Pelodiscus sinensis: one gene and its partners. Each later gene encodes a partner of the first gene's protein in a complex. Links are inferred from orthologs where the notes say so. Each region holds a gene or a part of one and is shown on either strand. Other genes may lie near its edges.

Evidence for each region.
Region 2: MED1 (region 1) and MED13L share a complex: the UniProt entries of both Homo sapiens proteins name them as parts of the mediator complex. The link is inferred for Pelodiscus sinensis from reciprocal best matches to the Homo sapiens genes MED1 and MED13L.
Region 3: MED1 (region 1) and MED18 share a complex: the UniProt entries of both Homo sapiens proteins name them as parts of the mediator complex. The link is inferred for Pelodiscus sinensis from reciprocal best matches to the Homo sapiens genes MED1 and MED18.
Region 4: the proteins of MED1 (region 1) and MED24 are in contact, whole or in part, in a cryo-EM structure (PDB 8T9D), measured with the Homo sapiens proteins. The link is inferred for Pelodiscus sinensis from reciprocal best matches to the Homo sapiens genes MED1 and MED24. Residues at the interface, in NP_004765.2 of Homo sapiens: Phe375, Asn377, Gly436, Leu437, Gln439, Glu441, Ser453, Asn459, Asp460, Ser461, Leu462, Val463, Cys464, Tyr480, Lys481, Gly482, Asp485; in NP_055630.2 of Homo sapiens: Lys7, Ile10, Trp14, Lys15, Arg17, Leu47, Ala50, Met51, Ile52, Gly53, Pro54.

The regions. Positions count from the first base shown.
Region 1 is NC_134739.1:11,884,221-11,892,367, forward strand, and holds the start of MED1 (mediator of RNA polymerase II transcription subunit 1), read left to right. Parts: upstream 1-4,946; 5' UTR 4,947-5,138; coding exon 5,139-5,166; intron 5,167-8,147. UniProt on the Homo sapiens protein: Component of the Mediator complex, a coactivator involved in the regulated transcription of nearly all RNA polymerase II-dependent genes.
Region 2 is NC_134725.1:12,063,823-12,071,785, forward strand, and holds the start of MED13L (mediator of RNA polymerase II transcription subunit 13-like), read left to right. Parts: upstream 1-4,597; 5' UTR 4,598-5,112; coding exon 5,113-5,184; intron 5,185-7,963. UniProt on the Homo sapiens protein: Component of the Mediator complex, a coactivator involved in the regulated transcription of nearly all RNA polymerase II-dependent genes.
Region 3 is NC_134716.1:84,446,242-84,453,889, forward strand, and holds the start of MED18 (mediator of RNA polymerase II transcription subunit 18), read left to right. Parts: upstream 1-4,606; 5' UTR 4,607-4,745; intron 4,746-4,972; 5' UTR 4,973-4,985; coding exon 4,986-5,058; intron 5,059-5,898; coding exon 5,899-6,452; 3' UTR 6,453-7,648. UniProt on the Homo sapiens protein: Component of the Mediator complex, a coactivator involved in the regulated transcription of nearly all RNA polymerase II-dependent genes.
Region 4 is NC_134739.1:11,073,203-11,080,756, forward strand, and holds the start of MED24 (mediator of RNA polymerase II transcription subunit 24), read left to right. Parts: upstream 1-4,432; 5' UTR 4,433-4,583; intron 4,584-6,769; 5' UTR 6,770-6,778; coding exon 6,779-6,908; intron 6,909-7,554. UniProt on the Homo sapiens protein: Component of the Mediator complex, a coactivator involved in the regulated transcription of nearly all RNA polymerase II-dependent genes.

The DNA of each region.
Region 1 (8,147 bases):
GGGGTTCAGTTTGCAGGCTGCCCTGGGGAAAGAGGACAACCCCAGCTCTCTCTCACCACAACAGATTGGAGCCACATGAGAAGTACCTCTCCATGTCCACTGCAATTCCAGCGGGCACAGCTGGGGGAGGGGTATAGATGGGACTGGTGCAGGTTCATCTGTCCCCTGTGCTCTCCAGGCATAGTGAGGAAAGCAGCAAACTGTGCACTTCCCTGTCACTCCCTGACATAGGGGAACAGCCAACTGTGTCCTGTACAAATTGGGAGAGGGGAATTTGAGCCCTCCCTAACAAGGCCCTGTGGGGGTGGGCGCCTCAGGGCTGTGGCAGTCTCATATGAGGGGGGCACACCCCTCGCCAGCTGCTTTCATCTGCCTGGTGATTCTGTCTCTTTTCTGTTTGGTTTGGTGAGAAGCAATCCCATTCCAGGCATATCCTATTTTCCTGGCATAACCAAACCTTTATCTTCCTTTAAACTCTCTTGGGCTACGTTTACACTCACGGCTTCTTGCGCCAGAAATATGCAAATGAGGCTAAGCGTGGAATATCGCTGAGCCTCATTTGCATACCTAATGAGCCGCCATTTTTGCAGAAGAGGCTCTTGCGCCGGAAGGAGCTGTCTACACTGTCCTTTCTTGCGCAACACAAACCCTCTTGCACAATGCCGTTATGCCGATTACTTTTCAGGAAGAACGGCATTGCGCAAGAGGGTTTTTCTTAGCCAGATTCTGGCTAAGAAGCTGCGAGTGTAGACATAGCCCAAGAGAGTTTAAAGGAACATAAAGGTTTGGTTGTGCCAGGAAAATAGGATATGCCTGGAATGGAATTGCTTCTCACCAAACCAAACAGAAAAGAGACAGAATCTGGCTAAGAAAAACCCTCTTGCGCAATGCCGTTCTTCCTGAAAAGTAATCGGCGTAACGGCATTGCTCAAGAGGGTTTTTGTTGCGCAAGAAGGAGCAGTGTAGACAGCTCCTTCTGGCACAAGAGCCTCTTCTGCTAAAATAGCGGCTCATTAGGTACGCAAATGAGGCTCTGCAATAGTCCATGCTTAGCCTCATTTGCATATTTCTGGCGCAAGACACCGCGAGTGTAGACAGCCTTGGATATGTAGTAAATCAGCAAATCTACTGCTTTATTGGGACAAATTTCCCTTACTTTTTTGGTTAAATATTCATGTATTTGTATTCACTACCTCACTTGGACATGTGATCAGGCCCAGCCAATGAGTTTGCAGAGCCCAAGGCAGCATGTTGTGGTTAGCTGCACCACATGGCCAGGCAACTCCCAGCAAGGGAAGCAAGCAAGTAGGAGGGTGCCAGGCAGTGCAGGGACTTAACAGCACAGGGCCCAATGCAGCCTCCTTGCTCACTTTGCCCTAAGTCCAGGCGTGTATGTGATGATAAGTCATTGTAGGGTTGCCAAGTGTCCGGTTTTCTACCGGACAGTCCGGTATTTGCGCCCTCTGTCCGGTAGAAAAATTCAGAAAATACTGGAAATGTGTAATGTCCGGTATTTTCTGATTTTTCAGCTGGGCACTGGACGGAAGCCTGGCGGGGGCGGGGGAGCGACTGGGAGGCGGGGCCGCGATTGGCGCTGGGAGCCCTGTGGTTGTGTGCAAAAGCCAGGTGGGGCGGGGCGGGGCAGGGGCAGTGGCCCGGACTCCCAGCCGCTCCCCCTGCTGGCTTCTGTGCACAACTAGAGGCTCCCAGCGCCATTTGCGGTCCAGCCTCCCAGCTGGGAGCTTCTGGTTGCATGCAGAAGCCCGACGGGGGAACAGCTCCCAGCCACTCCCCCTGCCCCCACCCGGCTTCTACTAGAAAATAGAGGGAGTGCCTGCCGGGAGTGCAGACTGTTGGACTGCAGCTGCAGCCAGTGGCTGCACCCCCCTGCCAGCTTTGCTCCTCCCCCTCCTCTGGCCGCCCATCCTCCCATCCAGCCCCCGCAGCCCCCGATCCCCCCCAGTTCTGCTTCCCGTCCCCCCTCCCTCCTTTTCCATCCCCCTGGCCCCCAATCCTCCTCCCAGCTCTGCTTCCCGCCCCCCTTCCTCCCAGCCTGCCCCACCTCCCCTGCCCAAGATCAAGTGTGTCTGGTATTTTGGGGGGGGAGGGGGAATCTACCTGGTAACCCTAGTCATATGTATCTTGTGCAACTGCCACAGGGTAGATTTGAACCTAGGCCCTCTAGTGCTTAGTGTAGGACAGTGATAGAAATGTAGCTGTGTTAGTCTGGTGTAGCTGAAACAAAATACATAGACCTGTATTTTGTTTTAGTGTAGGACAGTGGTTCTTAACCTTACTGCAGCCTGCACCTCTTTGGTTCTCAAAATATGTTCTCATACCCCTTATTAAAAATCATTGAAGTAGGTCAATTCTTTAAACATGATATATCATAAAAATCTGGCATGTCTCGCACCCCCCAAAAAGGTATTTTGCACCCCCAGGGGATGCATGCACCCCAGGTTAAGATCCGCTGGTGTAGGAGCTTCTACAGCCTGAGCTATAAAGGTAGGTGGCTTTTAGTTGGGGCTGTAGAGCTCACTCATTCTTACATCTCTCTGTAAGTGGTCTAAGTGCCACTACTGGGACAGTGAACTACACCCACTAGGTGTGTGAGTTACATCTGCACAATTAGCCATTGAATGGGGATACATGGTTTCCTTGGAGAAAGAAAGAGTCTACTCCATTCATAAAAATTGCCTGAGCTACCACTCAGGAAGAGGGTCTTCAGCTGTGGCTTATTAACTGGCAGTCAGGCCAGAAAAAGGGAAGGTACAAAAGCAGGCTAGGTGTCTTTAGTGTAGAGAGGTTGTGCTTCTGGAGTTGGGGAGGAGGAAAAAATGGTTAGACAGGCTTTCCCAAGAAGAAACTGTTATTTGTGAAACTATAGGAATGAAACAGGCATTAGTCTTGAGTTCTGCAAAAGGGAATCTTTCTGTTTAAGCTACAGGAAGCTGGAGCTGTGCATTTAGGCCTGACTGGGACTGCCTACTAAGAACTAGACCCTTTATCTTCCTCCAGTAGAATGCCCTGTGCTTGAGATTTTTTTCTTGTATTGTTACCCCCATTAGAGTGCTAGTGATGACCTCTTTATTCTTAAATGCCTGTAAAGTGCTTTGAGGCCTTCTGTTAAAAGCAATCTGTTGCAAAGGTCAAGAAATCTTCAACTGCAGAAGATGTAACTCAAAGAAAAGGAGCAAAAATAACTACTGGATAAAAAGAATGTAAAAATACTTAATATATTCTGAAAATATATGTTGTTTTACATGGATTTTTGTTAATTGTAAAGGTGCTTATTAACTACAACTTCTTTGGGGAGAAAAAATTTAAAATCTATAGTAAATTGAAAAGCTCACTTCAGGTATGTTTAGAACTGTAACCATTAATGTATGGCCTAATTTTTTTGTCTAACAATCCCTGTAGCAGAAGTTATGGATCAGATATTACCTCACCTGCAATACATTAAATATTAGATACATCTTCTGTTGGACCAGCTTCTGTTGGTGAAAGAGACAGTTGTTTGAATGTATACAACTCTTCTTTAGGTCTGGGGGACATACTCAAGAGTGTCCTAGTAAAATGCAAGGTGGGACTGATAGGTGTAAGGATTTAATATATACTGCAAGAAACCATTCAAGGTGAGGTTTGGGACCGAGGCTTGTACTTTGAAGGTGTGTGTGTGTATATATATGTATGTCTTCCTTTTGAGGATGAGGACTGAGAGATCAGATAAATCATAATTTTATGAAAAGTATGTAGTTAACTGCTGACTTGGTGTTGTCTAATTGTGAGCTCACTTGGAGAGCATACTGACTTCTCCTTTCACCTAAATAGTTATTAGAGCATTTAGTGCACTGGGTGAAATACATCAAAGGATGTGGTAGGCATGTATAGGACCTATGGATCTCAGTATCAGGGCAATGTATTTATGTTCTCTTACCACCAAGAAGTTGAAGTAAAAGATTGCCTCATCTACCTTGTAGCCAACACCAATAGTGTGAATTAGGTATGTACAGAGTTATGTAATTGGCATATGTAATGAAACCACTAGTCCCTCAAGTCCTTTCTTGTCCCATTTTACAACGTAAAGTGGATTCAGATTGGATTACTGTAAGTTTTTTATGGAGTCTGACTCAGAGGAGAAAGTAAGGGGGTGCACGCAGCTCCAGCAAACACCGGCTGAGCTGTGGCAAAAGCCAACACTGAGCTATTTAAAGAGTTGGAAGGAACCCAGCTTGCAATAGGACAGTACCAGTAATTTTGTTACTTTCATTGCTGGTCTGACTTGAGGGGCTGCTTCTGCAGCTTCCTCTGTAACCCCTGCCCATCACCTAGTAACACACTTGAATCTCTTCACTACCTCCTTTTACACAGGAAATGTTCTGCCTCCTATTGATGTCGGGGATCCTGATTTCATAATAGTAAAGTGACAATTGAAACAGTCAATGAGGAACTTAAGTTAGGACAACATTCTTTCTGGTCGAGAAAAGACTCGGGCATCGTTTAAAGTATTTTGTGCTGCTTAATCGCTTAGATGGTTGGGGGGTTTTGGATTTTTTTTAAATGTCAGCTTGCCTGCACTTCCCTCTGCAGTAATCAAGTTTTTATTTTTTTGCTATTTTGCAAAGGCAGGGGCGGGGGAATGTAACTTTGCCGTTTAAAAGTTTTTGTTTTAAACTATTTGTGTCAATTTCTTGCAATTTTTTTGTTTGTTTGCAACACTCCGGCTACAGCGCGGAAATTTTTTTTTTCCAGCTGCCGACGCACAATCCCCGCCCCTCTTCCCTCCCGGAAGCAGCTGCCGGGGCTGCGCGCTGGCCCTGCTGGGCCCGGCATGGGCGCACACGTGCCTCCTGGGCCGGGGAACGCCGCACGCCGGGCCCGGCTGCCAAGAGGGGCGCCAAGTCTCGCGAGAGGACGAGCCTACGCCCGTCCCGCGCTCGCGAGGCGTCCGGGAGGCCGCGAGAAGGCGGAAGTGTCGCGCGCGTTGGAGCGCGGCGATGGCCGTTGGGCTGGCGGCGGCCGCCGCGGACTGAGGCCCGCGCGGGAGGGGCCAGGCCGCGGGTCGCTGCTCTGCGCCAGCCCGGCGCCTGCGGCCTGCCCCGGGGCCCTTTCTCCTGGGCCCCTCACAGGCCCGCGGGATGAAGGCGGCACAGGGGGGCGCCGAGGGTGAGTCCGGGCTCGGGGGCCCGCCCTGCCCGCTGGGGGGGCGGCGAGCCGGGGGGGGCTCGCCCCTTGGAGGGGGGAGGGGAGCCCCGCACTGGAGGGGGGAGGGGAGCCAGTAGGGGACGCCCTGACTTCTAGGGAAGGGGGGAGATTCACCCCCCGAGATCCTGCGGCCCCCCCGATTCTAGACCCCCCCCGAGATTCTGCAGCCCCTCAGCTCTGCAGGGTGGGGGTTGATCCCTGCTCTTTGCCTAGCCCTGGGCCACTTAGTTCCTCCCTCCCCCTCCCCCCCGATTATTACCATGCTCCCCTGCACGGGAGGGGGCCAAGGAGCCGCCCCCCCTTCATAAAACAGCACTGCAGCCCGCACGCACTGGAGTTCTTCGCCCACTGGTGCCCTACCGGTGTGTTTGGTTGCACGGGGCTTCATGTCCCTCGCACCGGCTGCTGTGTCGTCTTGGGTGCAGCCTGAGGACAGCACAGCTGTTTGGTTCAGTGGTGGGCAGCCTGCAGCTCCTGGGGGTTTTACAGTGATAGAGATGTAGCCGTGTTAGTCTGGTGTAGCGGAAACAAAAAACAGGATGATGCAGCACTTTAAAGACTAACAAGATGGTTTATTAGGTGATGAGCTTTCGTGGGCCAGACCCACTTCCTCAGATCAAATAGTGGAAGAAAATTGTCACCATTTTCTTCCACTATTTGGTCTGAGGAATTGGGCCTGGCCCACGAAAGCTCATCACCTATTAAACCATCTTGGGGGTTTTACGTGTGTTTCCCCCCTTGACCCTCTGAGACACTTTGTTTACCCCTTGCTCACATGCAGGGTGGCCAGATTCCACTGGCTTCCCTCCTGCTGGTATTGCTAAAGTGACACACATGTAAAATAAAGGCATGTGAAGTGCATGCTGATTGCACACCACCTTGACCGAGAGAGCTGTGTGCTCCCTCTGTGTCCCGTCAAAGCACTGCTCTGGTTTAATTGGCCTGCACTGCAAAATCTAGGTATGTGAGCGCTGTGTGCAACACTACCTTAGCCTGGGAGACCGTCTTGGTTATGACAATCTGAGGCCCACTGAGATGGAGCCACTCACTATCCTTAGTTGCCTGTCACTGGTCTAGTATGAGATGGTCTATCTGGGGCTGCATGGACTCCTGGCATACAAAAAGTGTGGGTACCCAAGCTATGTTGCTTCAACTTGATCCTGTATGCCGCATAGAAGGAAACAGGTCCTCCTATGCCAGGCTTTGTTGATTAAAATAGCTTGCTTTTTTTATCAAGATGCAATACTATACATCTTCTTGGGACGAGAGTAGCATAAAATAGACCAGATTGTTGCCATCTTCATCAAACATGCCCTTCAGTTGCTATTATACTGTGAGTGAATGATACAGTTTGTCTAAAGTTCCCAAATTTTTTCTGAGCATGCCTTTGGGCATTCATGTGCTATTCACATGCTCACCTGTGTGGGATGTCTAGTACCCATGGGGTGGATGTTCAATACCCAGGATTGGGGAGGGATGCCTGCTACATATAGGAATCAGAGTAGATGGCTACGTCTAGACTGGCATGATTTTCTGCAAATGCTTTTAACAGAAAAGTTTTCCGTTAAAAGCGTTTGCGGAAAAGAGTGTCTAGATTGGCACAGACGCTTTTCTGCAAAAAGTGCTTTTGCGGAAAAGCGTCCGTGCCAATCTAGATGCACTTTTGCGCAAAAAAGCCCCGATCGCCATTTTCACAATCAGGGCTTTTTTTGTGCAAAACGAATCTGAGCTGTCTACAGTGGCCCTTTTGCACAAAAGCTTTGCGCAAAAGGGACTTTTACCCAAACGGGAGCAGCATAGTATTTCCGTAAGAAGCACTGATTTCAGACAGTAGGAAGTCAGTTTTCTTGCGGAAATTCAAGCGGCCAGTGTAGACAGCTGGCAAGTTTTTCTGCAAAAGCAGTTGCTTTTGCAGAAAAACTTGCCAGTCTAGACACAGCCGATGTACCAAGGAGGAGTTTTCATTTCCTATAGGGTTTGGGGTGGTCTTGGGTGCTGAGAACTGACTCCCTGCCTGTCACACCTACTATGAAGGGAAGCAAATGGAGTCCTGATGAAAGGCTGGGATCAGGAGGGCAGCAGAATGCTGCATCCAATGATTAGTAGTCCCCTCCTGACTTTGGCCCTTTGGTGTGTCCTTGGGGTATTGAGGCTCTGTCTGCTTCCCCTGCTGAGACACTGTCCAGCAGGGGAAACAGACGGGGCTTGGATCTCTGCGGCTGCACTGATGGGTTGGGGCAGGCAGAGGCTGTGTCCTGCAGGATTATCAAAAGTAAGGGAACAGCCTACAGCTTCTTGCTTGCAGAGTGTCTTCTACTTGCCCAGCAAAGCATGGTATGGGCCAATTGGTAACAGTGGCAGAATGAGATGAACAGGGAACCTGATCCCAACAGTTGAGTGTCCAGATTGTCCACAAAGATTCCCGCCTGCGTCCTCTGCTGGACTGGACCCCTCGTGATTGGACCCTTCAGCGTTCCCCACGGTTTGGGAACCTCTGACCCATTCCACCACCAACCTGGCTGTGTCTACACTGGGCCACTTATTCCGGAAAATCAGCCGCTTTTCCGGAATAAGCTGCGAGCTGTCTACACTGGCCCTTGAATTTCCGGAAAAGCAACGATACTCTACTGTACAAAATCAGCCGCTATTCCGGAAAAACTGTTCTGCTCCCGCTCGGGCATAAGTCCTTATTCCGGAACACTGTTCCAGAAAAGGGCCAGTGTAGACAGCCCAGTAGTCTTTTCCGGAAAAAAGCCCCGATCGCGAAAATGGCGATCGGGGCTCTTTTCCGGAAAAGCGCGTCTACATTGGCCACAGACGCTTTTCCGGAAAAAGGGCTTTTCCGGAAAAGCAGCCTGCTAATGTAGACGCTCCTTTTCCGGAAAAACTGAAAACGGAATAGTATTCCGTTTTAAGCATTTCCGGAAATTCATGCCAGTGTA
Region 2 (7,963 bases), on another chromosome or scaffold:
TTCTTCAAGGCCCAGTCCATTTCTATGCCAAATATTTCTTGTAGGTATGGTAATTCTGTTTGATTATTTCATCTTGCTTCCTCCAGCTCCTAACTTAGAACTCCCGCACAAAGAGAGATGGCAAGGTATACATTTACAATTTAAATTTCAGCACAGTATTCCATTGGTTCCTCTGGCTTCCTGCCAACACCCTTAGCTCCCTGAGTTTAACCCATTTGGTCACTGGCTGCTGGCCAAGACTCCTCTTATCCATCACACAGTCTGACCCTTTTATCTGGGAGAAGTCAACTGGAGCAGATGACAGTCTGTCCTTCCCCATCCCCTCACTTAGTGTAAATGTAGTAGTTCTGATTTTTAAATGCTCATAATTGAGTGAGGTAAAAACCCTATGGACAAACCTTGGATTTACATTTACCAATCACCAATATTTAAAAATGTAAACTGTCTAATAAATGCAATTGACAAAAGACGCAAGCTCTAATATTACTGTTGGTGGAGTTGGTCCTTTGTTGCTGGAGACCAGGAGTCTAAGTTCCAAACCCAGAGTTGCATATGTGGGTCTGTGATCTGTATGCAACTATGGATTTGTTGCAGAAGTTCTCTTCTGAATAAACATTCTTGACATACACTGAATTCCTCTCTGTTAGTGTTATAAAATAGATCCTAATCATTACAACTGAAACTAATTAAAAAAGTAAATTGCTTAATAAAATGCGATGTAAGAAGTTTCCTCCTTGACGCTTTGACAAAAACAAGACTGAAAAAATCAGCTTTCCTACTGAAAACCAGATCATTTAAAATTGTTGCACAGTCAATACATACTTACGTTTTTAATGGGGGTTGCTAAGTGAATGTAAATTAATCACACATCTTAAATGCTAATACCACACCTGTGATATTCTGGTAGCCAATGAGAAATCCAATTAGTTAGTCCTATTATGCCTGAGCAAATCAGTGTTTGTATCAAAGGGCCATTGTGAACTTGAGAAATGTTTATTAAAAAAAAAATTTAAGTTAAGATATTAAATGATCACCTGGCATTTCCCAGAGCTGACAGTTTTTATTTCAGTGAATGTAGACACCCAGAGAAGCTTGTATTTATAAAATAACGTTGAATTTATTTATATATGTTCAAGTGACATATTTATTTCTCTCCAATGTACAACAAAAATAAAAATTACGATTTTTTTCTGTCACATCACAGGTGAAAAGTGAGGAGCAATGTGACATTTTTGTATGTAGGAGGGTGCCATGTAACCATTCATTCTTTTTTAAAAAATGCTACTGCTGTCTAATGCCCTCAGTATGCCATAGAACAGGAGTGGGCAATACATTTTGCAAGGGGGCCACTTAATGAATTTTCCAATGTAGTCAAGAGCTGGCTTAACCCCTCGCCCCCAGAAGGGGCGGGGCCTGGAGTAGAAGGGGCAGGGCTGCGGACTAGTCTCCCCTCAGAGTTGTCTGGAGCCACAGGCTTTGAAATAAAGACACAGAAAAGGGCTCCCAAATCCCAGCCTCATGGCTAATGGATTGCTGCAGCTATTTAAAGGTTCATAGCTCTGTCCCCTGCCAAGGTAGCGCCATGACTGGGAGCCATGAGCCTGGAAATTCGGTGGCATGGGCAGCAGGATAGAAATAGAAGGCAGCCAGATACAGTCCGGGGTAAATCACAGTGTTAGGAGGGCTGGATCTGGGCCCTGGGACACATTTTACCCAGCCCTACCATAGGCAATGAATTTGGATTGATTCAGCTCTTATAAGCCCTCTCTGTAAAAGAACGTAATAAGAAAATTGAGCGTATCAGCAATAAGATGAAACATGTATGGAGCACGGTTGATTTCTTAGAAAGTATTATCCCCATTTTGTGGATGAAGCAAGTAAGTTTCAGGAAGGCTGTTTGCTGACTGTTCCCTTTGTTGCCCCTAAGAGTGTGTGATGGGGAAGGATTAAAATACAGCTGACTATAGCTCAGACCTGGGCAAAATACAGCGCGTGGGCTGGATTTGATCTGCCAAACCACTGGATTTGGCTCACGGATGCTGCAGTGAGCCCCACACAGGCTCTCTGCTTGCCTTGCCCCACCTGCATGCTGCTCAGACACGTGGCTGCGGGGCAGTTTTACTTTAAAAACTGAGCCCAGAAGGGAGGGGAAGGCAGCTTTAGGAGCTGCTTGTGACCCCAGCACAATCCCATTGGCTGACTTTTGGCCAGAAACTGGTTTTAATAACAGGCAGCCACAAAGAACAAGGGGCTCATAGTTATTCACAGAGCACATGGCTGCAGCCTGTGTTGGGGTGGGGCAGGCAGGGAGGCTAATTCAGAAATGGTCTGCTGGCTAGTAAGTCTCCTAGCCAAAGCCTGCCTCTGGCACCCCAGCCCCTTCATTCCCCAACCTCTGTCCCCAACTCTTGCCATCCTACTCTGCATAACTAAATCCTCTTCCCATCTCCCGCACCCATACCCCCTCCCAGATTAGGCACCCCAATCCCCTGCCCCAGATCACAGTCCCCTCCTGCCCTATCTCACAACCCAAATTCCTGCGCTTCCTCCTGTATCCCAATTCCCTGCCCTAGGTCACAATCCAACCCCCTGTACCCCAGTCCACTGCCCCAGGTCACAACAGCCTCCTTCATCCAAACTCCCTCCCTTACTACAAGCTCCCTTTTGCATTTCTCTCCAATGTACAACAAAAATAAAAATTACGATTTTTTTCTGTCACATCATAGGTGAAAAGTGAGGAGCAATGTGACATTTTTGTGTGTCGGAGAGTGCCATGTAACCATCCATCCCAGACCCCACACCTCCTCCATTAATATCATGGAAGAATGCAGCCCTCAAACAGTTCCCAAATTCTTGGAGTGCCCTCCTCCCCCATCAAACATTATTGGCCACCCCTGCTGTAACTATTACTTCCAAAAACAGAGCAGTAACATAGGTGTATATCTTCTAGTACCATCATCATTAATACCCTATATAAGGGTAAGAGGCACAGCTAAAGGCATCCTACAAAAAGGATGTGGACACATTGGAGAGGGTCCAGCGGAGGACAACCAAAATGATTAGGGGTTGGAGCATATGACTTATGAGGAGAGGCTGAGGGAGTTGGGTCTGTTTAGTCTGCAGAAGTGAAGCGTGAGGGGGGATTTGATAGCAGCCTTCAACTTCCTGAAGGGAGGTTCCAAAGAGGATGGAGAAAGGCTGTTCCCAGTAGTGATAGATGGCAGAACAAGGAGCAATGGTCTCAAGTTGCAGTGGGAGAGGTCCAGGTTGGATATTAGGAAAAACAGGAGGGTGGTGAAGCACTGGGATGGGTTACCTAGGGAAGTAGTTGAGTCTCCATCCCTAGAGGTGTTTAAGTCTCAGCTTGACAAAGCCCTGGCTGGGTCAATTTAGTTGGGATTGGTCCTGCCTAGGGCAGAGGGCTGGACTTGACCTTCTGAGGTCTTTACCAGCTCTATGGTTCTATGATTCTATGACCTGCACTCTTTGCACTCTGGGCCTTACTCTCATGCCCTACTTTGAAGCAAGGAATCACCTTAGCTCTCCCTGACTGTAGTCAGGACTAGTGTGGGGGCACTAGCTGTGTGTCTAGACCACAGGTTTTTTTTAAAAAAACTGGCTTGTTTTCAAAAAAACTTTCCCTAAGTCTAGACTACTGCCACATGCTTTTGCAAGTAAAACAAAAGAGCGTGGCAGTTTTTTTGACTGTGGAAAACCTCATTTTATGAGGAGGAACGCCTTTTTTTTGAAACAAAATGCAGGACAATGTAGCACTTTAAAGACTAACAAGATGGTTTATTAGATGATGAGCTTTCGTGGGCCAGACCCACTTCCTCAGATCAAATAGTGGAAGAAAGTAGTCACAACCATATATACCAAAGGATACAATTAAAAAAAATGAACAAATATGAAAAGGACAAATCACATTGCAGAACAGAAGGGGGATGCGGGGGGGGGGGGGGGGGGAAGGGGGAGGAAGGAAGGTAAGTGTCTGTGAATTGCTGATATTAAAGGTAGGGAGAGTGGGATGTTTGTGAGTTAATGGTATTACAGGTGATAATTGGGGAAACTGTCTTGGTAATGGGTGAGAAAGTTCAAAGTCTTGTTAAGTCCTTGTTGGCAAGTGTCCAATTTTAACATGAATGACAGTTCAGAGGATTCCCTTTCAAGTGCAGATGTAAAAGGTCTTTGTAGCAGAATGCAGGTGGCTAAGTCATTTAGAGAGTGTCCTTTCTGGTTAAAGTGGCAAGAAAGGCTTGTGGAATGAAAACTGTGCTTTTTCGAAAGAGAGCATCCAGACTGCCTGGGAGCGCTCTTTCGAAAGTAGTGCTTGTAGTCTAGACGCTCTCTGGGAAGAGGCTTGCAGTCTAGACTGAGCCCAGGTGCTGCGCCTGAGCTAGGTCGGGAGGCGCTAGGAGCTCGCCCGGGCAGCAGATTCCTTGCTCGAGTGCGCCCCCTGTGGAGCGTCTGGGAGGCAGCAGGAGCGTGTGTGTGTAGGGAGAGACAGAGGACAGACTTGGAGCGCTCGCTTCCCCCGCCGCTCGCAGCTGCCCACGTGGTACGGCGCTGGCCAATGGCGAGGCGCCCTGCGTCTGGCGGCCGCCATTGCTGTCAGAGTGGCGAGCGGCTGAGGCGAGCGCGCGAGGAGGAGTCGCTGCTGGCGCGCGGGGCCACGCGGAGGGCGGCGAGGACGGGCAGGGGCAGCGCGCGCTGTCCGGCCTGCGGCAGTTGCGGCGCGCGGACGAGGCGGCGGCCGCGGGAAAACACCACCCACCCGCCGCGAGGGGCGGGGACAGCGCCCCCCCTCAGCCGCCGGCGCCACTGCCCGCGCCACCCTGAGGCGAGCCCCGCGCCGGAGCGCGCTTGGGCTGCGGGTGCTGGACCCGCCCGCTCGGCTCGTTGCGGATTGTCGGGCAGGGGGGGCGGAGCGAGGCCCCCCCGCGCGGGGAGCGCCCCCTGCCGGTCCCCGGCCCTTCCTCGGGCTGGCGCGTGTGCGGGGCAGGGCTGCGGCGGCCGCCCCTGTGACGGGAGGCAGCCCCGGGCGCTTGTGCCGAGCCGCCGGCCCGTCTCCACAGACATGCCCCGCGCTGGCGGCCGGGCTCGCCGAGGATCATGACCGCGGCGGCGAACTGGGTGGCGAACGGGGCCAGCCTGGAGGACTGTCACTCCAACCTCTTCTCGCTGGTGAGTCCCCGCGGGCAGGCAGCGCGGAGGGGCCGAGCCCGGCGTGGGGCTCACGTAGGGGGCCCCGATGCTCTTTCGAGCAGCCGGGTTGCAACGTGGTTGGGTCGGTGCCGCTTGCCGGGGCTTTATAGTTGGGACCCGGGGGGGGGGGGGGGCTGCTCCCCGCCTGGCCCCTCCTCCCGGCTCCGCTCCCTATGTATGTGGCTCTTTAACAGCGTTTGCGGCGAGCGCGCCTTCCCCGCGCCCAGCTGCATGGCTCTGAATAGGAGATGTCAAGGCAACGGATTGGGTATCCCGTTGCCTGCGCTGCCCACATGTGAGACCGTCTCCTGTGGTAAACAGTCTTCTCTCCCCGCCCCTGCCTGCTTTGACACTTCATGCCCTAGTGCTTTGTGCCTCTTAAACTGCGTGTGCCCCCCCCCCCCCTTTTCGTAATGACAAACGCTGTTTCAGCAGTAAACAGTTCATGCAATGTGATTATCTATAGGACGTGCTCTCCGGCTTCTTGTGTCTGAACGTCAGCTGTCGTTATGAGTTTACAGCCATGCCTCCCTTGCACCGATGGGGGTGAAAGGGATGAAAGACTTTTTTTGGCCTTGGAAGGGAAAGCATTAGCTGAAAATGCAACGTTGAGTTGCTTGATAGCATCTATGTTACCTTCCATCTCACTGGTGGTTGACAACTTTCACTTTGTGCTTAGATGGCATGGTTTAATCTTACAGCAGCTATGATATCCGTTGTTCATACTGAACAGTTGCAAAAACTGTATATTTTAAATCTTAATTTAAAATGAATACAAAGAACGATTACTTGTTATCCGGATTAGTGACATTTTATTTGAAAAGATCTTTTTGCTTTCTTGTATGCCACAGCTGCAAGGAACCATTAGTCAGGTAAAGGTGAGAACTCTTGGGTCCCCAGTAGCAACCCAAGCCAAAAGAGGTGGAGTATAGGATTGTTTATAGGGGAACGATAACTAGGAAGATAAAATGGGGAGCAATAGGGTAATACAAGAAGAGTGGGAGAGGAAATTAAAAAACCAAACCAGACCGAAACACCTCTTTCTTCCCTCCAACCACTCTTCCTCCGCAGCCAAAAAGAACAGATTACAGCTTTACTTTTTTCTAAAGGTGGAGAAGGAATGTGAAATTTAAAAAAAACCCTCATTTTAAAATGTTTAACTTGGAACCTTTAAGTTATGCATATTGCTAGCCTTTGTAATGATAGTTTTGTAATTAACTGTAAACCTCCGTCTTTCCCGGATGATGAACAACCTTTGATGCTTTCCTTTGGTTTGTAGTAGAGAGGTAGCTGTGTTAGTCTGATCTTGCTAAAACAAAAGGGAAAAAATATGTAGCACTTTAAAGACTAACAAGATGGTTTAATAGGTGATGAGCTTTCCTGGTCCAGACCCACTTCCTCAGATCCTGTTATTCTTCCCAGCTCATCTCTGGAGGTGGGGCTGGCAGAAGGCAGAGATGAGCTGGGAGGAATAATGTGATATGAGGAAGTGGGTCTGGCCCATGAAAGCTCATCACCTCTTAAACCATCTTGTTAGTCTTCAAAGTGCTACATAGTTTTTCCTTTTGTTCCTTTGGTTTGTTTGTTCCTGATATCAGGTACCTTGTCTTCATCTCCAAAGAATTATATTCTTGTTGGAGGTTTTCTTTTGCTATGTGTTTGTACATTGGGATCCTTGTAGGAGGCTTTTGGGTGTATGTTATAACAAATACCATCCCCTTTGGCTTTTTATTGACTTCTAACCACTTTCAGAGCTAAATGACACTATTTAATCTTGCATTTATGCTAATGTTTACAGTGCCTTTATATCACCAGTGTATACCGCAAATATAGTAGTGGTAACAGTGGTTTGTGTACACCAGTCTTGATTACTAAGAAAAACTCACCAGTAAATAAAAGAGAAGCAAATGTATCAGGAAAGATTGTCACCAGTAAAATAAAAACAAAACCTCAGTCAATCTTAGTTTTTAAAAAAAAAGACCAATAAAAAAACCTGTTAACTTTATTCACCATGTTTTGGTTAGGAAATTAATATGTTTTGGTAAGTGTTAGGTGGTATAATTGTAGCCCCGTTGTCAAAGTCTGTCATAGATAATATAATTCTTGGTATAAGGTACCATGGATTACAAAGTTTAGATTTTCAAATTTTGTATTAAAGAATTTATACTAAGAAACTTTATAGAACAGCATATTTTTTTAATTATATGCATAATGCCAGTGAAGTAAAAAAAATACAATTATGGAGTTTGCTTTTAAAAGTGAGCTTGCATTCAAACTGATGTATAAATACCTTTATACTTGGTATACTACAGTATAAGGTGATACCACTTCAAATTTGGTCTCTTAAATCTATCTTATTGATTTCACGAATATTTTTTTCTGCAATAACAAATAACATTTAAACATCTGTTTGCAGATATGTTTTATTTAACACAAAATAGCTTGCAAAGCTAAACTTAGCCTAAAATTTGTAGGTGTGGGTAGTACATATTGTTTTTAAAGGGGTCACTTAACCAAGGTAGCCATTTTCATGCTTTTTGGACTTTAAACATGTTGTAATGGGATCAGAGGACAGCTATGTTATAATTATGATCCACTGTATGTTTTCTGTATTTTTCCTCCCACAACGGGGCTGAACACTGTTTGCCTGTTGTGTGTGTCCCTGTCCTCTAACTTGGTGGGATTTTTTTTGTAATATGCCTGTAAAAAACTTTTACACATGAGTTATTTCTGGGGATATATGTAAGCATGAAGTCAG
Region 3 (7,648 bases), on another chromosome or scaffold:
TGAAAAATCCAACTTTCTTTTGTTATGAAAACTTACAAGAGCCATTGAAATGTTACTAGAAAAAATAATACAATAAATGGAGCTGTCCATTAAATACTGTATTTGGACCCATAAGGTAATACAGTTTTTTTCTTAACATTATGCAGGAAACATTTGGTAGGTCTATTTTGGTTTGATTTGCTACTGAGGAAAAAAGTATCAGTGGCTATTCGCAATAGTTATCCTGACCAGTCATTGAAGGAAAACTATAAGTGGACTTGAACATCCCTTTTTATTAGAAGGATGGTGTCAGCAGTTCAGGCTTTTTATGGGGATACCCAGGCATTCCAGGGACATGGGAGTGAAAGAGAGGGAATGCTGTTCTCCTTATGTGTCAGCTTAGTATAACTTGTGAGGGATTTGTTTTGTAGAACATCAATTCTAATATTAATTGTGTAGATCTCATAAAGCTAACATGCAAGCCTGAAGACATACTACATGCTAGGTATGCTGTGGTAGCATGTAAATTATCATGAATGTTTATCTTTCTGCAGTATTGTTATTAATCGTTTTTCTTATTTATGCAGAGTTGAAACTGCTTTGTTTCTGTGTTAAACCAGTGATTTATTGTTTAAAGTAACACTGAGCTGGCAATAAATGGTGGTTCGGTGTTTATTTTGGTGAATGTAACTGACATTCTGTCTTGCAGAATTAACATTTTGTACTGTTACTAAATTGTGTACATTTTTGTACAGAAAACTTTTTTCAGTTTCAGTAAAACAATGGAAAAGCATTTTGGCTTAATTGTGATATGTTTAAGAACTAGGGTGCTGAGCTCCATGCTTGCTACACTTGCCAACCCCTCCCTCTCTCTGGCTGAGCCTGATGGTATCATAGTACTTGTTTTATACATAGACAGAGATAAGTGACTAAAAAATATTAAACACACTCAGCTACAGTATTAAGTACTTGCAATTCCGCAAGTATTCTCCATACCACCAAAGGACAGTATGTGAACAATCCCAGAAATGTAACACTTTTCATTGAGGCCGATCTTGGACACTTAGCACTTTTCAAAAAAGAAGACTTTTTGTCTAGCATTTGGCACATGGGTAGAGGTGTGCTCAAACAGAAATTTTTTGCAAAGTCTTTGATGGTCATCTAAGAGAGAGGTGTGACCCTAGACACAAAAATGCACTTTTGCACTCTGGCTAGAACTTTTAAGAGCAGGTTAGACAAACACCTGTCATGGATGGTTTACACCTGGGGTCTCAAACTCGCAGCCCATGGGCCAGGGCCTGCCGGAGTGATTGCACAATCCAGGTTGGGGAGGGCCTGTCTGTTACTAGCCCCCAAGCCTGGCCAATCCTGCCATTGTCCTGGCAATTACCTCCACCAGCAGCAGTCACACCCCCTCAGCACTCCCTGTGGCATCAGGAGCTGTAGGGGAAGTGGAGCGAGTGCACCCACCCAGTATGCTCCACTTCCCCATAGCTCCTGATGCCATGGGAAGCTCCGAGAGGAGGGGTTGGAACTGCTGCCATCATGCACATCAGGCACCCTGTGATCCTCACAGCCATGTACTCTGAGGACAGTGTGCCATGGAGGAAGGAGCGGGGGTTGGAGGTGTTAATGGACTGCCCCTCGCAGAAGTCTGGAGCTGGTTTGCGCAATCACTTATTTAGGGTTGGTCTGTAGGTGGGGAGTTTGAGACCCTTACTCCATCCTATGGAAGTGATGTTTAAGAATGAAGCATTTGGAGGGTAGAGAGAGACATATCCCAGCTCCTTCAAAACAATCTGATGGCCATGTGGAATGTCACTTGGGGTGATTTGAGGCTTTGTTTTGTCATGTAGTCAGTCAAAACCCAGCTCCTTATGCAAGCCCTAGCTACAGTATAGAAGAGGGACAGAGGTGTGACATTGGTACCATACTGTGGAAGATGTAATCTTTGGGTTATGTAGTGGTTCATTTAGAACAGTGGTTCCCAAACTTTTTGGCATCACAACCCCTTTTTGATTTTTGAGAAACCCTCACATGCTCTCCCTCCCACCCCCCTTTCCCATAGCAGCAAAACTTGTTGAGCAAAAAAATTTCCGTTTTGAAGTCTGCCTGGGACACTCCATCCTCCCCTAGCCCCAGCCAGCCTGAGCTCTTTCTGCAGTTTCTATCCGCTCCTTCAAAACAGGATGAGCAGCCTGGGGCTGGGACACAGACTCTCATGGGGCCAGCCATGGGTAGGGTGACCATATGTCCCGATTTTAAATACTCTGACTTGGTGCCCCATCAAGTAGTGAAATGTCCCGGAAAGCCCTGCTGGATATTTCACTACTTGATAAAGACACTGGCGTGGCACGGCAGTCTCCTCCTCTCCCCCGCAGCAGGGCGCATAGGGAAGCTGGGCCAGCTTCTGGTGGCACATGGCCCATCCCTCTCTCCCTCCCCCTGTGGGACTGCCTCTGCTGCATGGGGTCCTGGTTTGGTGGCACCACCTCCTTATCCTTTGGGCTGCTTTGGAGACCGGCAGTTGCTTTTGCGCAAAATCTTGCCACGTTTACACTGGCCGTATTTGCGCAAGAACACTGAGTTTGTACTGTACAAAATCAGTGGTTCTTGCACAAATATTCCGACGCTCCCGCTCAGGGATAAGCCTTCTTGTGCAAGTATTCTTGCTCAAGAGGGCCAGTGTAGACAGCCAAGTTAATTTCTTGTGCAAGAAAGCCCGATGGCTAAAATGGCCACCGCAGTTTTCTTGTGCAAGAGAGCGTCTACACTGGCACTGATGCTTTTGCACAGAAGCAAATCTTTTGCGCAAAGGTACATGCCAGTATAGATGCTCTCTTGCGCAAATATTTTTAACGGAAACAGCTGAGGTGTGTTCCAGTTGGGCAGTCTCGCTGGGACGGGCCTTGTGCTGCTGCTGCTTGACTCCAACTGGAGCTGGCAGTCTGCAGCACTAAAAATAGCACCACAGGGGGCCTCTGCTGCCGTCCCAGCATGCAGTCCTGCCCCGGGAGCGGCAGGAGCTGCGGGGGCTTCTAGGGCCAGACTGCAGGCTCCAGCCCTGCAAACTGCTTTCTGGAAGGCATAAGGTGAGGGAAGGGGCTGGGGAAGAAATAAGAGGAAGGGGCTTGTGTTGAGGGAAGAGGTGGGGGACCAAGGCAGGAGAAAAAAGGGGAAGGCACCAAGCAGCAGGATGGAGGAGAGAGAAATGCTAGGGGGCCAAGAGGAGACAGGAGGGGAGAAGTCAGCAGGGGTGGGAGACGAGAGGGGAGAGACAATGGGGGCAAGAGGAAGGAAGAGGAGAGGGGAGGAGTGTGTGCCTGGAGAAGAGGCATTGAAAGGAGGGGTGGGCATAAGGAAGGCAGGGGATGGAGCAAGTCATGTGTGAGGGCACAGAGGGGCATGAAGAGAACTGAGTCAGAGAGTGGTGAGGGGGTGGGCACCAGGGAGGGACAGGGGAAGGGGGAGGTACCATGAAAGCGCAGAGGTAAGGGAAGATGCAGGTGCCAGGAGATTGTGGGAGTGAAGCAGAAAGGCAGACACTGGGAGGGGAAGGACGGACACCAGAGGAGAGAGGAAGGGCAGGGGGGTAGAGGAAGGTGTTAGGAGAGGGGATGGGGAGGGGTAGCTACGGATGATCAGAGTGGGGCTAGAGGAGGAGTGGACACAGGGCTGGTGCAGGAGAAGGGGGGTAGGTCCCCAAAGGGCTGAGGGGAGTGAGAAGGGCAAGAGCTAGGACAGCAGAGGAGGGTGAGGGGTGGAGGGCAGCAGGCACCAGGGGAATAAGTGGGGCGAAGGGAGGGTGGGAGACATGTTAGCGGAGGGAAAAGGGAGAGGTTTACAAGATATTTAATAATAACTTGGTTGCCACAGTGGCACACATTGGCAGTGGCAGATATAGGGCAGGGCGAGTGGGGCAGCTGCCCCGGGCCCTGCGCTTCAAGAAGCCCTGCGCACGGCACATGCGCTGTGTCCAAGGGGGGGCCCCATGAAATTGTGCTGCCCTGGGCCCCGCAAAATCCTCATCCACCCTTGCACATGGGAACAAGCGCCCATGAACTCAATACTGATGCACAAGACAAAATTCACTCTGCCTGTGGGAGGAAAATCTGAGCGGGAACAGTCCCTCAGCCTCTCCCCTCGCGCTAATGCAATGCAAGTGAATGCTCTTGCAGTACAGTTGCATGCGGGGGCCAGACCCATCGCTACTGGGAGGACAGGGGAGAGCTCTTAGCGGGGTCACAGAGCCCCCTTCGCGTCTGCTCGCTTGGCCGTCGGGCCGGGCCGCACTGCCTGGAGGGGTGGGGCGAATGGGGCTCGGGGGCGTGGCTGACGTGGGCCTAACTTTGGTTCAGAAACTGTGGGCCCCACAGTGCTGGGCCCCGGGCCCTGGCTGCGTGGCGGCTGCAGTAAGGACCGTTCCCTCGCGCGCCTGCCCGCCCGTTGGGCGCCATTTCTGACGCGTGACTCTTACCCCAGAACGTTCTTCCCCCTCTCGCTAAGGAGCTGGGCCAGAGAACCAACTTCAGCCTCTTTGGGGCGCCTCGGGCAAGGCGAGGGGGAGGGGCAGCCCAGGGGGGCCGGGCGGGGTTAAAGGGGGGGGGGCATCTCGCGCACTAAACCGAACCCCGCCCCGCCGCCTCACTCCGCCCGCTTGCCTGCGGCGCATGCGCAGGAAGCCGCTGGGCCTGGGCGGTGGAGGTGGGGTTCGCGGAGCGGAGCTGGGCGCGAGGGAGCAGCCCGTGTAGCGCGGCGCCCTAGAGGTGAGTGGGGAGCGTGCGCCCTGCGCAGGGGGCCCCAGGACCCTCCCGGGCCGGTTCCCACGCGCCCCCTCCCTGCGCCGAGCCGCAGGCTGGAGCCGGGCTGCGCCGCTTGTCCCCCTCGGGCTGCGGGGGGCGCCCCCTCCCAGGCCCCTCCGCCGTGTCGGGGGGCTCCCCGCGCCTGGCCGGCCGCTGCAGTCATGGGCCTGGTTTCTTTGTGCTTCATCTAGGGAAGCCAAAGCCATGGAGGCCCCGCCCGTTACCATGATGCCCGTCACTGGCGGCACCATTAACATGATGGAGTATTTACTCCAAGGTAAGACGGCGGGAAGGTGCGTTTGATTTCGGGTTCCACAGGCCGCGAGGTTCGTCTGAACACGCCCAGCTTGCCTGCGCCCCAGGCGTTGCAGTTGGGGAAGAGGCGGCCATACCGCGAGAAGGTCCTTTTCTGGAAGAGGTTGACGTTTAGGGCTTAACGCTCCAGCAGCAGGGATCTGGCTCTGACCGTGCACTAACTCCTGGACTCCAAGAGGAACTCCTAGGGACCGTCTCCCCCTCCCCTTTCCAAACTCCTTTTTGGTGCAGGATAGTCCCTTAGTGCAGACTTGTTCTGGGCTTTGCTCTTGCCCTTGTAGTTTTTGGTTCTGTGGCAAATCCCTCTGAACGATTTGGTGATAAACTTCTTTGTAGTTATTAACTTTCTTGGCGTCTGTGTGCTGCTGTTGTAGTTACAGTGCAGCATGCAGACATTCAAAACCAGCAGCAGTGCACCTTCAGGTCCTTGATGTGTAGGGAGTGTGTTCAAGCAGTTAGAACTAAGTTATTTTCCTGACTGTTGTTTACTGTCTGATCTTGGGCAAAGTCATTCAGGTGTTGTACACCTCTGATTCCTTTTCTAGAAAATATAAAATAAGGGAATAATCCTCCTTTTGTAAAATGCTTTGAGATTCCCAGAGAAAGAGCACTGTGTATATATTTCCTGCAGCTTTTGCAGCCTCTGCTTTTTGAAAAATGAGCATTGTTTGCTTATTTGCTCCTATTTTTTAATATGGTGAGATAGTTTGGGATATCCCATGCACTGCTGGAAGTAACCATGCAATCTTTGTGACAATAGTAAGCTTTTCAGTGGTGAAATAATTATCTTGTTTTAAATCAGGAAGTGTTTTGGATCAAAGCCTAGAGAGCCTCCTTCACCGGTTGCGTGGTTTGTGTGACAACATGGAACCTGAGACGTTTCTGGATCATGAGATGGTGTTCCTCCTGAAAGGGCAGCAGGCTAGTCCCTTTGTCCTGAGGGCACGGCGCTCCATGGACAAAACTGGAACACCCTGGCACTTGCGCTATTTGGGACAGCCAGAAATGGGAGACAAAAACCGCCATGCTCTGGTGCGCAACTGTGTTGACATTGCCACATCAGAGAACCTTACTGACTTTCTGGTGGAGATGGGCTTCCGCATGGACCATGAGTTTGTTGCCAAGGGCCATGTGTTCCGCAAGGGTATCATGAAGATTGTAGTGTACAAGATCTTTCGCATCCTGATTCCAGGAAACACTGATAGCATTGAGCCCTTGTCTCTCTCCTACCTTGTGGAGCTGAGTGTTGTAGCTCCAGCAGGACAAGACATAGTGTCTGATGACATGCGAAACTTTGCTGAGCAGCTAAAGCCTTTAGTTCATCTGGAGAAAATTGACCCCAAAAGGCTCATGTAAAGGACTCAGCAAATAATCTAGTTCTAACAGCCTCTTCATGCAAAGACTGGACAAGAGTTTATATACCAGTTTCATTCTCCAAATAATGGAGGAGAGATGTCTTAATATTATTTCATGAGACAGGAAATACAACTATCAGAATCAGTAATACAGTGGAGCTGACTGCACGCTGTTGCCAAAAGAGGAATGTATTTTTTTCCCACTTTTTTTTTTTAACTTAGCAATCTTAGGTGTTAGTTTATCTGCTAGTGTTACAAATAAGATGAAAATTAGTTTTTCAGGCAAAAGGTGTTACCCCTTCAACAAATATAGATTTTTTTTTTTTAAAAGCTAGTTTCCTTAGTTAGGACTTGGTTTTCAAAACTGAACTCTCAAAACATAACTTACTTTTAAGACTATTTATTTTAGGTACTTCAGTAAACTGGGCCTATGAAAATAATCTGATCAGTTTCTCTGATTTCTAGTCAATTCCTTTTTCTGCTTCTTACCTATTTGTAAATGTCTGCAGAAGAAGCTTGTAGATATTTAAAAGTGGTATTTTAAAAAATTCTGTACATCTAAGGTTTTGTAAAAAGTCAGTTTTAGGAAAACCAAATTTCTGGGCACCAAATTTACATTACTTCATATTTCTGTTTTGTTTTTGGTTGAATACTTTGATGCCTGAGTTAAATCATAGTGAAATAACACCTGAATTTTGTGTATTACTATTAGCAATTTTTTCCTTCAGTTTTCTGCTGTGGTAAAATTGGGGGTCAATAAAAAAAAATTTGACCAGCAGGTGCACAGAACTCCTGACTGTTTTGATCATTTTGTTGTTAACCATTCTGAGATGTTTGTTTAAACAAGTCCTTATTCTGTGCCTCTGAGTTCTGTAGTCAAATAATAAGTATTTGTTACTGTAATTCCAGAAAAAGTCTTTCGGCTGACTTCTTTCAGGGCTAATATTTATGATAACGTACAGTAACTTTACAATTGTACTTTATTGAAAAAATTATCATTAATGCCAGTAAAGATATACTAGGTTAACTGTGAATGTTTCCTAACATGCACAGAGCAATCTTTTCACTTCCACCCTTGCTGTAGAACTCTGTTTTAGTGGAATGGCATACAGCAGTACAACAGTACAGTTAAGGATAGGTTCTGATGAAGAATATCACATTTAGATGAAACTGCACAAAGGACTTCTAGGTGGACAG
Region 4 (7,554 bases), about 810 kb from region 1:
GCTGATCCTTACTCTGAGCCTCTGTCCTCTGCTCCCTGCTGCGGGGGAAAGGCAAAGAGCACCATCCTGCCCAGCCACAAGAGAGGCGAAGAGGTGGGTTGCCGCTTGCATGGAAGCAAGGGACTTCGACCTAGACGGCTCTGTGCTGCCCCAGCACAGAGACACAGAACTGCCTAGTGCTAGATCTCAGGGCTTCCCGTGCTGACAGGCCAGACCCCTGGCATGACAGCGCAAGGGGAATCTCCGTTAGCAGTAAGGGGCCTATGACACGCGGCCCCGAGAAGTTGGTGATTCCACCCTGCAGGGGGCAGTGATGAGTAGCTGGTTGTGCTGCCGTGGTGCCATTCACCCCAGACAGGGCCAGCGAGCGCTCGGTCTGCGGCATCCTCGGTACTTTGCCGGTGGGGAACCTGCAGGTGTCCGGCCCTGCTGAAAACCAGGCTGCGCCCTCACGCCCAGGGGCCGTTTCATGCTAGCCCACCCAGGCTGGGCCTGGTCTGCCTCTTGGCTGCGCCTCGGCGCCCGCTAGAATTCGTTCAGCCCACGCTGTAAACGTGGCCTGGTCTGCACCTTGAGATGCACGATCCTCGAGGACGACCATGGAGCAAGGGGCCAACCCCCCCATTGGCATGTCCGTGGCACCAGGGCCTGGCCTGGCCCAGCCCCGTGGCCGTCTGCAGCAGAGCCCACGCCCGGAGCTGCCAGCTCTCTGGGTTAACGCTGCCAGGGACCCGGCTCCTCCTCCAGGTTCCCTTCCAAGCCGCTGCCCAATTTCTCTGGCAGATGGCGAACGACACAGGTCTCTGGTGTGAGCGCAGGGCATGTGACGGGGAGACGCTGGCTTTCGGGGAGGGGGAGCCGGTGATGTGGGCGCACCAGCCAGCCAGCCCGGGAGGGTGGGTGGCATGTTGCGGGGGGAAACAGATGCCAGGAAAGAGAGAGAGAAGAGAGGCCCCAGCCCAGCTGCTATGCTGGGGGGAACGTTCCCTGCGGTTTCGGCTACTGCCAGTCCAGAGCATCCTCCCACGCAGCTCCCACTGCAGTGCTGAGTAGAGTGCGTGGGCACGGGCAGTGCAGCTGTGTCTGCTAGGGCCCACGAGAACAGTGCTGGTAGAATGCAGCTGTGGGTCTCGGGGGGACTCTGGAGGGAGCTGCACGAGAGAGAGAGAGCATGTGCATGCATGCGCTGCCCCCTGCTGGACTGAATCCGAATGACCCAAATGTGTGTCATAGGCCCCTATATCATTAATAACCAATGGGGAGACTCCTCTAGCTTAAGCCCTGAGCTCTGCCGTGGAATTCCCAGGGCGCCCACCGTGGGGGTGTCGATACTATTTGGCCTCCCACTCGCATCATGGTGTCCAGCCAGTTCAACCGGCCAAACAGCCGCCCGTGGCTAGCCGCTAGCGCATGGGTCACCACGGCTGTAGCCTCTCCCCAAGAGGCTGGTGGGTTGCGTGTCTGAGACAAGCCTGGTGAACCCCTTTCCCAAGAGCAGGAATCCAAGACAATGCCGCCAAATCAAGGGACCCAGGAGACCTGGCCCCTGTTATTAGCTGTCCCGTGAAATCTGCAGTGGGACCTAGGCCCCTGCGAGTGTAGTCAGCTAGACCAGGCGTGGGGGGGCTGGGCACAGCTGCAGGGCAGAGGAACAGACCTGGCCAGCTCTTCGGAGCCCCAATTCACTAGTCCCTGGCTCCTGGGCAGGAGTCGGTGGCCCCTCCCCAAATCACTCCGCCCACTAGGCGCTACACAGCAAAGGGGGCGGGGGCGTCAGCTCCTCAGCCGGCCTGTGCCAGGTTCCACCTGGGAGTGGATAGGCAGGACGCTGATTGTGCGCTTGGCCGTGGCAGGGCAATTCCACCCTGGCGTTGCCACCTCCCCTCGAGACGGGGACGCGAACAAACGCCCGCCAGGCTGTGTCCCTTCAGAGGCGCGGGCAGAGCTGTGAGCAATACCGGTAGGAAAAAACCAACGTGGGCGAAAACCAGCACAATCTTGCCACCTACACATAGACCTCCAAAGGGCCGTACGTGGGCTGCAGGTTGCCCACCATTGAGTTGCACCCTTCCCTACGGCGTAGAGAGGTGCAAAGAACTGGTACAAATACCAGCGTATTCCAGAAGGCTCTCCAATGTCCCTCCTTGCGGATAACCCCCGATCTTCTTCTTTCTCTGCATTGCTGTAGTGACACCCCACCGTGGCGCTGGGCTCTGTACAGACACCGAAAACGGAGCTAATCCCTCCCCCAAAGAGCTTACAATCTAATACAGGAGACAACAGATGGGGAGAGATGAGAGTACAAGAAAATCTCCCCTCCCGTCCCCCTGGCCTGGCTCTCACCCCCTTTCCAAGTCCCTATCACATCCACAGGGGTTTCTCCGTCCCGGGTCATTTTCAAATTACGATTGGATTTTTTTTCCCTACAAGAGCCCCCTCTAGGAATGATCTAGGCAAGATCCTGTGGCCTGGCCAGTCAGACTAGGTGACCGCAAGGGTCCCCTGTGGTCCTGGAGCTGACGGCCCTGATCTTTGTGGTTGCTGGAGCGATGCTTTCTTGGGGAAAAGAGGACGGAGTGAATTATTAAACACGTCTAGCCTCGTTAAACGTGCTGGAGCAGTTGGAAAGGACGAGAGAAAAGCCGAGCCCGGTGCCCCGGGCCCTGTCCGAACTCTGTGCAAACCAAGGCAAGTCCATCATAGAACCATAGAACCATAGAGCTGGAGGAGACCTCAGAAGGTCATCAAGTCCAGCCCCCTGCTCTAGGCAAGACCAATCCCAACTAAAATGGAGGAGAGACTGGTGAGGTTTTTAATGCCTCGGATTGTGAGCAGGTGCCGGCCTTCCTGCGTGCTTGGGAAGTGCCTGCCTGGCTCTTGGCACACACAGCCGTACAGAGCCAACTAGGCACTGTCAGACTGCGTCTCAACAGAGACAGCACGTGGCTAGCTCACTGCAAAAAGCCAGTTTCCCTCTTTGGGGGTTGGATGCACTCGGTTCGATTTTGGATGTTGCATGTCATTTCTACTGTCCTATACTGCTCTGTGTGGGCGTGCCTCAGTTTCCCTAGGCGCCGCACTGGTGCCCACACGGGAATGGGAGTTTTGGATGTGACTCTCCGGGAGGGGAGGCTGCCCCAGCCCCTCATGTACACAATGGCCCAGACTCACTGTAACATGAGCCTGGGAGGGGGTGTGTGTACAAACAGGTGACACCTTTTGCAGGGGAAGCTGGACAAAGGAGGTGGGGCTGCCTGCAGGGTGTGAGTTGGTCTGGCTTAGGATCCAGGGAGGGGGCCCAGGGCTCTGGGCTCCCCTCTCCCCAAGACGGATGGTGCCGGCCGCTTCTGGTCCTGTGCTGACACATCTGTGCTACGCTGTGTCCCTGTGAACCAATAACCCTTCTGACCGACCTGCCGGCGAAGAGTTATGTCTGGCTGTGGAGCGGGGTGCAGGGCCAGTGACCCCCACCCTTTTGGTGACACCCTCTTTTGCTATTCTCCCCTTCTCATCAACTGCTGGGCAGGGTTGTCCTTAACATGCAGGGACCCTCTGGTACGGTTGCCAGATGGTTTCAACAAAAATACCGAACACACTTGACATTCCATCACAATCTGCATTCCATCTTATTTAGAAAACGCCGGACATTTCTATTTTCTCATTTCTATTTTCTCAATTTGTTTCCCGAACAGAAAGCTCCAATACTAGACTGTCCGGTTCAAAACCGGACCCCTGGCAACTCTACGCTCTGCCCCTCTCCCCCCACCCCGCATCCCACCCCTTGCAGCCAGGCTGGGTGAGTTTCTTAGAGCTGTGATTTGATCATCTTCAGCAATGCGGTAATGAAAAATTTAAAACCAGAAAAAAAAAAAAATCCTGAAATTCCTGATAACAATGTTTCCCAAATGGGGTTCTGCGGAACCCCGGGGTTCCACAAAGTGAAAATAAGGGTTCCGCAAGAAAATTCCATTACAACCACATTTTATGATTTAAAGAAAAAAATAATATTTAAGCATTTATGAATTGGATTGAAAACAATTTTCATGTGTGTTGATCGCATGACCTTGTTTAGCATTTGTTTATGACGATCCTTACTTATTTGTGGGCTACTTTTTCAGCTCCATATATTAGACTGTTATTCGGGGTGCTGCAAAATTCTGCCCAATAACATGGGTAAAACCAAAAAAGCAGTCAGGTAGCACTATAAAGACTAACAAGACTATCTCATTATTCACAGAGCTACGTGGCTGCTTTTTTTGTGTGTTACCAAGATCAGACGCACACCGCTACCTCTCTGCAAATAAAATTGGGACCCTCTGCCCTATAGCTTGGAAAATGCCACTGCCCCTTCCACCCCCAGTCAGAGGGGCGGCCCGATGTCTGTGGATGGGACCGCCTCCCCCGCCGCCGCCGGCAGCCAGAGAGAGCCCCGCTCCTGGGCCGCCAGCCTCAGAAAACTACCGCTCCCAGCAGCCTCCGCGGCGCGCGGCGCGCGTCCAGCCAATCAGTGGAGGGCGTGTTGGTGGGTGCCAAGATGGCGGAGCCCAGGGCGCGAAGGAGGCGCTGTTTGTGAGGCCTGAAAGGTGAGGGGGCGGCCCCTGTCTGTATGTGGGGAGGGGGGGAGCGCCCCCCTCGGGGTGTGTGTATGTGGGGGGGTGCTCCTGGGTGTATATGGGGGGGCTGTGGGGAGCACCCCCGGGGTGTATGTATGTGGGGGGAGTGCTCCTGGGTGTATATGTGGGGGGGGCTGTGGGAAGCACCCCTGGGGTGTATGTATGTGGGGGGGAGTGCTCCTGGGGGCATATGTGGGGGGGGCTGTGGGGAGCACCCCTGGGGTGTATGTATGTGGGGGGGAGTGCTCCTGGGGGTATATGTGGGGGGGCTGTGGGAAGCACCCCCAGAATGTAGGTATGTGGGGGGGAGTGCTCCTGGGTGTATATGTGGGGGGGGCTGTGGGGAGCACCCCTGGGGTGTATGTATGTGGGGGGGAGTGCTCCTGGGGGTATATGTGGGGGGGGCTGTGGGGAGCACCCCTGGGGTGTATGTATGTGGGGGGGAGTGCTCCTGGGTGTATATGTGGGGGGGGCTGTGGGAAGCACCCCTGGGGTGTATGTATGTGGGGGGGAGTGCTCCTGGGTGTATATGTGGGGGGGGGCTGTGGGGAGCACCCCTGGGGTGTATGTATGTGGGGGGGAGTGCTCCTGGGGGTATATGTGGGGGGGTTGTGGGGAGCACCCCTGGGGTGTATGTATGTGGGGGGGAGTGCTCCTGGGTGTATATGGGGGGGGCTGTGGGAAGCACCCCCAGAATGTATGTATGTGGGGGGGAGTGCTCCTGGGTGTATATGTGGGGGGGGCTGTTGGGAGCACCCCTGGGGTGTATGTATGTGGGGGGAGTGCTCCTGGGTGTATATGTGGGGGGGGGTTGTGGGGAGCACCCCCAGGGTGTATGTATGTGGGGGGCATGGGGAAGTGCCCCGGGTGCATGCGTGTGGGGGCAGGGGCAGCACCCGGGTGTATGTGTTGGGGGGCGGGAGCAACGCCCCCACATGTAGATGTGCCCCTCCCTCCCTCAAGCAAGTTAAAGGGGTGCTGGTAGGTGATAGGGCTCACACATGCACATCTCTGTGCCCCCTGGGACTGCCCCACTGGGGCAGATGGGGAAGCAGGGTGATGGGGTTTCACACCTTCTCCTCTAGCCACAGGAGCCTGCCCCTTCCCACGGCTGGGAAGTCCAAGAGCCCTGGCTCCCTACCCTTCTGCTCTAAATGTTAGACCTCACTTGTTTCCCAGATCTGGGAGCAGGAAGGGAACCCAGGATTCTCCCCCCCCCCCCACTCCACCCACACCCTATGCTCTATTCATCCTGATGTGATTAGAACTTATGACCCCCTGCGCCCAATACTCCCATGAGCTGATCAGTGGGCTACTGTCTCTTCCTTATAATTAGGCCCCTACCAAATTCATGGCCATGGAAAATGTGTCTCTGACCATGAAATCTGGTATTTTGTGTGCGTTTATCCTCTACTGTACAGATTTCACAAAGGAGATCAGTATTTCTCAAACTGAAGGTCCTGACCCAAAAAGAAGTTGCAAGGGGGGGGGGTCATAAGGTTATTTTAGGGGTGTCATGGCATTGCCACCCTTACTTCTGCACTGCCTTCAGAGGAGCTGGGTAGCTGGAGAGTGGCGGCTGTTGTCCAGATGACCAGTTTTGATGGCAGCACCCTGGTAGCAGCCAGAAGAAATGGTAGCAATACGGTACCATGCTGCCCTTACTTCTGTGCTGCTGCTTTTGGCAGCTTTCATCCAACTCCCCAGCTGCCCACCTCGAAGGCAGCATCACTGCCAGCAGCAGTCCAGAACAAGGTAGCAGTACCACAACTCCCCCAATAATTTGGTGTCCTCTCACCCCCAAAACTCCTTTTCACATCAGGGGACCCCTGCAATCGCAACACTGACATTTCAGATTCAAATAGCTGAAATAATGAAATCTGCTATTTAAAAAATCCTGTGACCCTGAAATTGACCAAAATGGACCGTGGATTTGGTAGGGCCCTACTTATAATGGTCTCCGAGCTGCCGAGTCCTGGCTCCCAGCCTCTTGCATAAACCAGGTTGCACTGCCTTCTGCTAAGAGTGAATCCTTTGTTATAGAAATAAAAGGTGTGCTTGATTGACAGTGCCCCAGGAGAAGTGTTTGGGTGAGAGGGGAGTGGGTGAGAAATGCTGTTATGAACAAGCTGCTGTATCTTCTCTCTGCCTTTCAGAACAGAAAGATGAAGGTTGTCAATCTAAAACAGGCCATTCTCCAGGCCTGGAGAGAACGGTGGAGTGATTACCAGTGGGCCATAAACATGAAGAAATTCTTCCCTAAAGGAGCCACGTGGGACATACTTAATTTGGCAGGTCAGGATTTGGTTTTGTTTGACTGTTTGCGTGCACGTGTCTGTGTTATGTGCGTGGTACAAAGCGAGACACACATATCACCCAGATAAGCAAACTGCAGCAGTTGTATTATGTTTACCTGCATTTCTATGTCTGGGCTGAAAAACTCCCAAATAGAAATGGAAGGTCCAAAGACTTGTGTACATGTGGAGCCCTTCACAGGGACGACTCGTGCTTAAAGCCAAGCGTGTAAATCTTGGGAAGAGTGGAGTATATAGCATGATTGTTGGCTGCAACAACTTGCTCGGCTATTACTGACACCGAGAGATGCAGAATACTTTGGCGGCTAGAGCTATAAATTGGGACTAAAGAGACCTGGATTCTCTTCCAAGCTGGGCTGCTGGTTTGCTTGGAGACCGTGAGCATCTTTTTGTGCCTCAGTTTCTCTATCTGTACAATGGGGGAAATGATCCTGCGCTTCCCTTTAAAGAACTTAACGATCTGTGGCTAAAAAGTGCTGTGTAAGAACTAAGTATTTCTGTTGTTGTACATGTTAGGGTAATATTATTTCTTAATAAACTGAAAGCATCCTCCAACCCACATGTCATTAGAATTCATTTTTCTCACCCCAGTTCTAGAAGGGAAATTGACACAAATCCTGCTAAAA